2 linked regions of the Callithrix jacchus genome follow. The protein of the gene in region 1 purifies or fractionates together with the protein of each later gene. This does not show direct contact. Links are inferred from orthologs where the notes say so. Each region holds a gene or a part of one and is shown in the gene's direction. Other genes may lie near its edges.

Region 1 (4,529 bases):
GATTTAATATACCAATTTGAGATAATTTAATGAAAAAATGCTAATAGAGATATTATAAATGTTTATATTAATTACACTAGTCTTCTTAGTAATTTTCTCAATGCTGACTTTTATTTATGACTTCCTTAAAGGCAGAATTGTGATTTAAGTTTTGAATGTCTTCACAACCAACGAAAAGTTGAAACTACATAGAACAGTCATAGGATACACAGAAGAGGAAAGTAGCTTTGATAGCTTTTTAAATTTTTTTAAAATTTGATTTTAAATTGTTTATATTTGAATTTTATTTAAGTGGGTAATATTTACAAGGTTCAAAATTCAAAAGGCACTAACGGATACACAATAAGGAAAGTCTATCCTTTAATACTGTGTCCCACCTACTCAGGGTTCTCCAAGCAATCAAAGTTACAAAGTTACATCCAATGGTATTCTACTAATCTATGTGATAGCCTCCTTGCTACCATTTTTAAAAGATGATTTTGAAGGAGTTGAAGCCTGTAAAGGTCTTATTAAAAGTGCCTTATTATTTGAAGAAGAAGTAGGGCCTGATTCTATGTTTCCTGATATTTTAGTTCAGAACTCTATAATCTTTGTACTAAGTCACACTGCTTTTGTAAGGTGGCGAGTTGGCAGTGATTAATCAGTGTGGATGGTACAGTCCGGTAATTTTAAGTTTCCTCTGGTTTAAGATTGGCACAACCAGAAAGGAAGGCTTCTCAGAAGGGCGGCAGGGGAGATTTTTGGTTCATCAAAAGGAGGCAAGGGTTTTAAAAGGCTGACCTCGGCCTGAATCACATGGTTTGACTTTTGCTAAGCCCCGGGAATGGCGCGCGTCGGGCTCAGAGTGCTGATGTCAGCGCGGATCCGAGCCAGGTCTCAGGGGACTGGCGTTCAGACCTCCGGCTGCTCTCACTTCTAACAATCTGACGCCTACTTTAGGGTGTGGCCACGGCCCCACCCACTCTGATCTCAGACTTGGACACCGTGCGGGAGGCGATGAGGCCTTGCCCTCGTCTCTTTAGTAGGTCGGGTGAGTGTAGTGTGCAGGGAAGAGACTCGTTGACGCCAGAGCCAGGCCCGCCCGCGGGCATCCCCGCAGCGGGATCTTGGGCTACTCCTTCCCAACAGCCAGAGCGGATCAGGCCGACGGGCCCTGCCCGCTCAGTCCCGCGCCCTCCAGACCCTACTGCCTCCGTTTCTAGGGGCAAACGGTCAGCGGGAGGCGCCCACAGTCAATCCACTCTGCCAGCCTGCCCCTTCCTCTGCCAAAAGCAGCTTCTTCAGCTGCGCTCCAGTTCCCCAGACGCCCGCCCCACCCTACCCTTCCCTTCCAGGGAAGACCGATCACGCGGCCAAGAACGAGACTCGCAAACTGGGCATTTTTTTCCGAGCGGGACTGGAGCAAGCAGAGACTCCGCGTGAGAGTGGGAAGGAGCCTTAACAGGCAACTATGTGACCCAATGGTTTTTCTCTGCCTTTGGATGTGGACAAATGAGGCGCGTGAGGCGGGACTTCCGCTTCGCCTCGGTGTTGTCGTCCCCGTTCGTACTCCTGGCTGTGCGGTCGGTGCGGATATTCAGTCATGAAGTCAGGGTAGGGACTTCTCCCGCAGCGAGACTGTTGTGTTGCGGGGGCCAGACTTCCAGGTAAGAGACTGTCCGGCTTGGCGGCAGCCGGGCAGCGGGTTATTGGGCGGCTCGGAGAACACACCCCGCTTGCTGGCCCTCGAGTTCGGAGTCGGCCCCGCTGCTGAGGTCTTTACTGCTCCTCTAGAGCTGGGCGAGGAGTGAATTAGGCTTTTTGCAAAAGGAATAAAATAGCCTTGTCCTCGAGGGCCGAGTCTCCCTTGCCCTCTCATCTCGCGAGTTTGTGTTTGTCCAAAGTTGTTGAGTTACCGGTTTTGCTTCTCTCATTCCCTTCTTGAGGCTGCAAGAGCCTTGGAAGTATGTTTGGAGGGCTTTTCTTGGTCCAGCACCTGCCGCAACGTCCTCGGGCAAATTGCTTGACTTGAAGGGGCTGTTCTGTTTTTGAATATAAGGAGGGCAGTCTCTTCCTCTCTTTTACCCCCACCCGCTTTTTTTCCCCTGGAAGCTCAGTTTGCAGGTTTAGGACGTGACCCCTGCTAAGGCCAGATACTACGGTAAGTCAGCAGCTCTGCCGGTACGCTTGACTTGATCTGCACTTATTAAAGAACTTTGTCCCAGAGAGCGAGAGAGAGAGCGCAGACATCGAAGCCAAACAGTAGTATCCCGGAAGCACTCACGCAACTTTGGTGGCAGCCACTCAGTGTTCTCTGCCAGTGTCTGGTAAATTCCTGTATTTTGTCCTAATCTGACAATAGTAAATTTCTAAAACTGTCGTTTCATCATCAGTTTCAGCACCGTGGGCAGCTGCTCAGGTCCTCTTACTGCACAAACCTGTTCAGCTATTGCTGTCCGTGATGCAGCAGGAACAGTGAAAACGAATGCATTCCTTCCAACAATGATGTGTTGTTCTCCGAGGAGAACATCTGCAGTTTTTGATACAATATAAATAAGTAAGGTGGCTTTGCCTCCAAAGAGTTCTTGTAGAGAAACAGATCGATTCAAGATTTAAGGTAGGGCTTTCAAGAGTTATAATCTATTTAAGCACGATTTTTGAATGGGTGGATATTAGCTCCATCTCAAAGTAACAAAACTGGACAGTGGTAGAAGTTAAAAAGAAGTTTAAACAGGAGGTAAGAAGTGTTGTGCAGTGCTGTAGTTTTGGGCCTGTAAGAATTCATTAATAGATTTTAGAATCAATTTAGTACATTGGCATAAGCATTAAAAAGAAAGAAAAAAATACCAGAGGTCATTGTATGAAGTAAAAGTAAGTATTATGGCAAGAAGCTTTTGTAGCAGTTTTGTCTGACAACATAAAAATATGTTGTGTGTTAAGAGGAAGATGGAAATGTAAAGTATATTATGGATATGGCAAAAACAAATGTTTAAAAATACTAGATTCCAAATTTGGGAGTCAGGCTGAGTTCAGCTCTGCCACTTACTAATTCTGTGACATTTTCCATAAATAAGAAGTTGTTATGAGTTGTTACGAGGATTAAATGAAATTAAAATTTGTCTATTACGTAAGTTTTTTTGTTTTGTTTTTTTTGGAAACTATTGGAGAGAAGCACAGTTATTTTTCTCTGTGTGGGGAATGACAGCTGTTTTATTAGTATATTTTTTACCTCTGCCTTTGAAGCTAGGCAAGTCTTTATGTGTAATGCAAATCACAGAGAAAATCTTGGTTTGAGAGGTATAATACTGAAGGGTATAGGATAAGTTCTCATCTATTCTTGTATAAAGCTGATTTTCTCAATAATTTTGGAGGGGCCTAAATTGTTGCCAGCATTCAGCTTTCTTCCCTTGATATTTTTCTGCATTCCAGAATAACGTAGATTTATCAGAACTTTTACAGGCTCTAACTTTAGCTAAGTGAGGGTAAGACTAAAGGTATGACTGCAGGGATAGATTTATGTCTTTGAGTTAAGTTGGATAGAATGGCATTTTATGTCTTATAGTTCTTACCATAAGAGATGTATGAAATGAAATGGCTTGGCCAACTATCATGAAATGTTATGCTTACTTTGTGTGGGTGTGACCTACAAATGATTGGCATTTAAATAACAATATTTTAAAATCTGAGAATTAATGATGTTTAGGAGGAGGCAAATGAGTTTCAATCAAAACAGTGTTTTGCACCATTTGTCATGTTACTACCATATGGTATTGCAGATGATAGTTTCACATGACATAAAAAGGGGAAGAAAGTTGGTAAGCATTGTTACTTTTCTTAGAAGAGGAAACAAAATTAGAAGTTAGTTCCTTTTAATAAAGAGTACTGGTGAGTCATTGTTCAAAAATTTACGTGTTCTGTAGCTATTTATTGAGCATATATAGAAGCAGAATATTAAAATTCTATGAATCTTTTACATTACACAAAAGTTGATTTGGGAACAACACAGTATATGATTGGTATTGTCAAAATTTGTATATCATAGTTCATCAGTAACAACTAAATAACGTAGCTAACATTGATTGGTTACTATGAGCCAAATACAATTCTAAGTACCTTATAATATCTCTTGTGGTTCTTACAGTCATTGATGTGGTAGACAGTTGTCTACTTTTTATCTTTATTTTTTTTGAGCCTCTTTTGCCCAGGCTGGAGTGCAGTGGTGTGGTTATGGCTCACTGCACCCTCGACCTCCTGTGCTCAAGGGATCCTCCTATCTCAGCCGGGCAAGTAGCTGGGACTATAGTCATATACCCTTGTGCCTAGCTAATTAAAAAAATTTTTTTTGTAGAGATAAGGTTTTGTTATGTTGCTCAGTCTGGCCTAAAACTCCAGGGTTCAAGTGATCCACCTGCTTCAGTCTTCCGAAGTGCTAGTATTACAGGTGTGATACATTGTGCCTGTCCTATTCCCTTTTTATAAGTGGGAAGTGTGGGAATTAAGGCATCAGAGATACATAACTGTGAGTTCACACAGGTAGCTGGAATTTGAAC
Region 2 (3,802 bases), on another chromosome or scaffold:
TCTCGGGTGTGTACGTGGGCATGGGTTGCTGCATCAGGTCTGGTGTCCTCGCCAGTTTGCCCCGCGTGGCTCCCTGGTCAGCCGGGACTGTTCCCTGAGCTGCTTTGGCCAGCCTGCTGCCAATTAGGGACAGCATGGCCTCTGTTAAGCTGGGTCTGGCCTGGGCTGGGCCCCGGTAGGCCTGAGGCGGGGCTGGTCCTGCCACCCCACCCAGGCATGTGGGACCCTCAGCCTGAGCAGCCCGGCCTGTGGCTCCCACCTCGTGTTGTGAGCAGGACGCACGAGAGCGGCTTGGGAACTGACACGGCCCCTCCTCCTGCTCCAGAAATCCCCCAAGCCTAGGAAGAAGAAGCACAAGAAGGAGAAGGAGGAGCGCACCAAGGGCAAGAAGTCCAAGAAGCAGCCTCCGGGCAGTGAGGAGGCGGCAGGGGAGGCGGCGCGGGAGCCGGTGCAGAACGGCGCGCCAGAGGAGGAGCCGCTCCCGGTGAGGGGTACTTCAGCGCCCCCGCCCCGCGCCAGGGCTCCTGGCGGGCTGCGGGCTGCTCCGCACTCCTGCTGCCTCCGTGCGGGAGAGAAGGGAGCAGATTCCAGAAGAAGCTGAGCTGGTTGGGCCTGGCTTGGTCCCGCGGCCCCACATTCAGCACCCCCGTGGTGGGCTGTGTGGTCCTGGGAGCCAGGGATCCCTCACAGGCCCCTCTGAAGCCCCCTCGCCCCAAGCGTTCTTGGAGTCGTGGCGTTTGACCTGGGGTATTGGGCAGCACTGGAGTTTTTGTTGCGACAGAGCCCAGGGCCTGGCCTTTGAGGCTGATGTGACTTTTTTCTCTCCAGCCTGAGTCCAGCTACTCCCTCCTTGCTGAAAATTCCTACATTAAAATGGTGAGTGGCGGCTGCTCCGTTCCCTGGGGCAGGGCTGGCCAGCGCATGCTCTTTGGCGTGGGACTGTGCAGAACCTGGCAAGGTCCCCAAGTCCTGCATGCTGGTGTGCCCAGGGAGCGAGATCCCTGCGGGGGCATTGCTTGGCAGCCCCTCTGGCTCAGGTGAGGTGGAAGACATGCCCTGAGGCCTGGGCTGGTTTGAGGGTCCCTGCCATGTGTCACAGAGCAGCCACGGGAGGCACTCCGGCTGAGGCTGGGGGGCCCTGGTCTGTGCTTCCATGGCCGTTGAGAGGCAGGAGCCTGTGCCTGTTCCCTGCGGGTGGCCCACCTGCCCTGCTGACACTGGCTGTGCCCGCAGACCTGTGACGTTCGGGGCAGCCTGCAGGAGGACAGCCAGGTCACTGTGGCCATCGTGCTGGAGAACCGGAGCAACAGTGTCCTCAAGGGCATGGAGCTCAGCGTGCTGGACTCACTCAATGCCAGGATGGCCCGGCCGCAGGGCTCCTCCGTCCACGATGGCGTCCCTGTGCCTTTCCAGCTGCCCCCAGGTGAGCCTCGCCCTGCTCACGGCCTCCCCTGGGGATTGTGGGAGCTTGGTGGGATCTGCTGTTCTTGTTGCTACCCCCCTACGTCCCCTAGGTCCCCAGGCTGCACCCTAGTGCCTCCTGAATGTCGGGGTCTTGCCACAGCTCTGAGAAGTGCGGTGGCCTTGGATCGACATGGCCAGAGCCCTGAGGGCTGGACTGTGGGCTGGGGCCTTCCTGGGTTCTGTGGCTCCAGTGGCTGCATCTTCCCTTTGTGAAATGGGCATGGGACCAGGTTCAGGCCAAACTGGGGACACCAGTACTCTTGTTTCTGCTTCTGTCCCATGGTGCTCCCTTGGGGTCTGAGCCCAGCTTCCTGATCAGCCACAGAGGACTCAGGACTGAGGACACACACAGGGGCCCCACCCATGCTGAGCCCCGGCTGCATCTCAGGTCCCCTCCCTCTCACCCCTGCCAGGCGTCTCCAACGAAGCCCAGTTCGTGTTCACTATCCAGAGCGTCGTCACGGCGCAGAAGCTCAAGGGGACCCTGTCCTTCATCGCCAAGGTGTGCAGGCTCCACTCGGCGTCGGGGAGGCTCTGCAGGCTGGGGCTTCTGCCCCATCCCAGTGGGTGTCCCAGTGTCCCGATGGGAAGTGGGCCACCTGCCTGAGCTGGGCCCGACTCCCCACTCAGCTGCGCTGCTTTTGCTCCACGGCAGAATGACGAGGGTGCGACCCAGGAGAAGCTGGACTTCAGGTTGCACTTCAGCTGCAGCTCGTACTTGGTCACCACGCCCTGCTACAGGTGGGCCCTGCCACCGCCCACCGCCACCGCCCCGCTCTGCCTCCGCCTCCCCTCCGCCTGTGCCCCAGGGCCTGAGGCTTCTGGGCAGGACTTTAGAGATGGTTTTCGAGGTGGTCAGTGCAGGTCAGGCTGCCTGGCATCTGTGCCAGCTGGGGCAGAGTAATTGAAACCACAGGCAGGGAGGCGTCACCCAGAGAGGCCTTGGCTCCTGGCAGTCCCAGAGCCTGGAGGGCTGAGACCAAGGAGCTGGCAAGGTGGGCTCCTCCTGAGGCTTCTCCTGGGCTTGGCATGCGGCACTGTCTGCCCCCTGCATTCTCGCAGGCCTGCGTCCCGTCTCTTCCTAAAGGACATCCGTCCATATTGGAAGAGGCCCACCCCATGGCTTCAGGCACCTCTGTGACCTCTTTAAAGACGAGTCATTATCAGTTTCTGGGGGTCAGAGCTTCCACACGTGAAGAAAAGGCACATCTTCAAGGATCCCTGAGGATCCCGGCCCCACCGGAGTCAGCCTCCCTGTCCCTCCCACAGCGACGCCTTTGCCAAGTTGTTGGAGTCTGGGGACCTGAGCATGAGCTCAGTCAAAGTCGACGGCATTCAGCTGTCCTTCCAGAACCTTCTGGCGAAGATCTGTTTTCACCACCACTTTTCCGGTAAGGAGAGCAAGGGGCTGATGGATTGCACGGGGTTCGCGTCCGTGGTAGCCATCCCTTCCTGTTGGAGCTGGGCCTGCGGCCTCATCCTTTGGGATTCCGGGTGGCTAGTGGCCCCATGGCCTGGGAGCTGGTTCGGGGGCTGCTGTTCACGCCCCAGGCCTCCCAGGGGCCACATTGTACTCCTGCAGCCCCCGGGAAGGCGGCCCCTGCAGTGGGGGCGCGGCTGCACCTGTGCGGTGCGTGGGGAGCCTGAGCCACCCGCTCTGTTGCAGTTGTGGAGAGAGTGGACTCCTGCGCCTCCATGTACAGCCGCTCCATCCAGGGCCACCACGTCTGCCTCCTGGTGAAAAAGGTGAGCCCCAGGCCGCGGCGCTCGCCCTGGCTCCTGCCGCCTCTCCTGGGCCTTCATCCTCAGGGCTGAGCCTTGGGGCTTCGAGGGCTCAAGGACGGGGATGCCCGCACTGCAGCTGTGAGCCCCTCACCTGCGCCAGCCCACTCAGCAGCGCAAGCTCGCTCAGCAAGTCGGGGCTTCCTCCTCCTGCTGTGCTGCTCACCCCAGGCTGACGCACGGCTCCGGGGCCCCACGCGCTCAAGACTCCCACCCCACCCCCTGCACGAGGCAGCCCGGGCCCTGGGTCGGGCGCTCCACCTCTCCTGCGCTCCTAGAGTGGTGCTCCGCGCCTCCTCCTGCCTGAGTGCTGCGGGTGGGTGTCTTGCAGCGTGTGGATGTTTTGCTGAGGGCGTCGCGTCTGTGTTTATGGAGTTTGGTGTAGTTTTCGGTTTCATCGTCAAGTGATCTCACAAAGACTGTAGAGAGTTCACGAGGAAGACCATCGGGCCCGCAGAGTTCTTTTTCTGTAGGCTTCTAGCTACAAACGGGGTTTCTTTGTTGTTTTGTTTTATGATTTGGAGTTTTGCTCTTGTCGCCCAGGCTGGAGTGCAGT

Evidence for each region.
Region 2: the proteins of RNF13 (region 1) and AP3D1 purify together in Homo sapiens (affinity purification with mass spectrometry; 3 studies listed by BioGRID and IntAct, counting the BioPlex papers as one, with this or other methods). This does not show direct contact. The link is inferred for Callithrix jacchus from reciprocal best matches to the Homo sapiens genes RNF13 and AP3D1.

What each region holds. Positions count from the first base shown.
Region 1 is NC_133518.1:35,453,679-35,458,207, reverse strand, and holds the start of RNF13 (E3 ubiquitin-protein ligase RNF13), read left to right. Parts: upstream 1-1,521; 5' UTR 1,522-1,646; intron 1,647-4,529. UniProt on the Homo sapiens protein: E3 ubiquitin-protein ligase that regulates cell proliferation. Involved in apoptosis regulation. Mediates ER stress-induced activation of JNK signaling pathway and apoptosis by promoting ERN1 activation and splicing of XBP1 mRNA.
Region 2 is NC_133523.1:1,989,273-1,993,074, reverse strand, and holds part of AP3D1 (AP-3 complex subunit delta-1), read left to right. Parts: intron 1-325; coding exon 326-484; intron 485-828; coding exon 829-876; intron 877-1,233; coding exon 1,234-1,423; intron 1,424-1,877; coding exon 1,878-1,966; intron 1,967-2,119; coding exon 2,120-2,205; intron 2,206-2,733; coding exon 2,734-2,855; intron 2,856-3,130; coding exon 3,131-3,210; intron 3,211-3,802. UniProt on the Homo sapiens protein: Part of the AP-3 complex, an adaptor-related complex which is not clathrin-associated. The complex is associated with the Golgi region as well as more peripheral structures.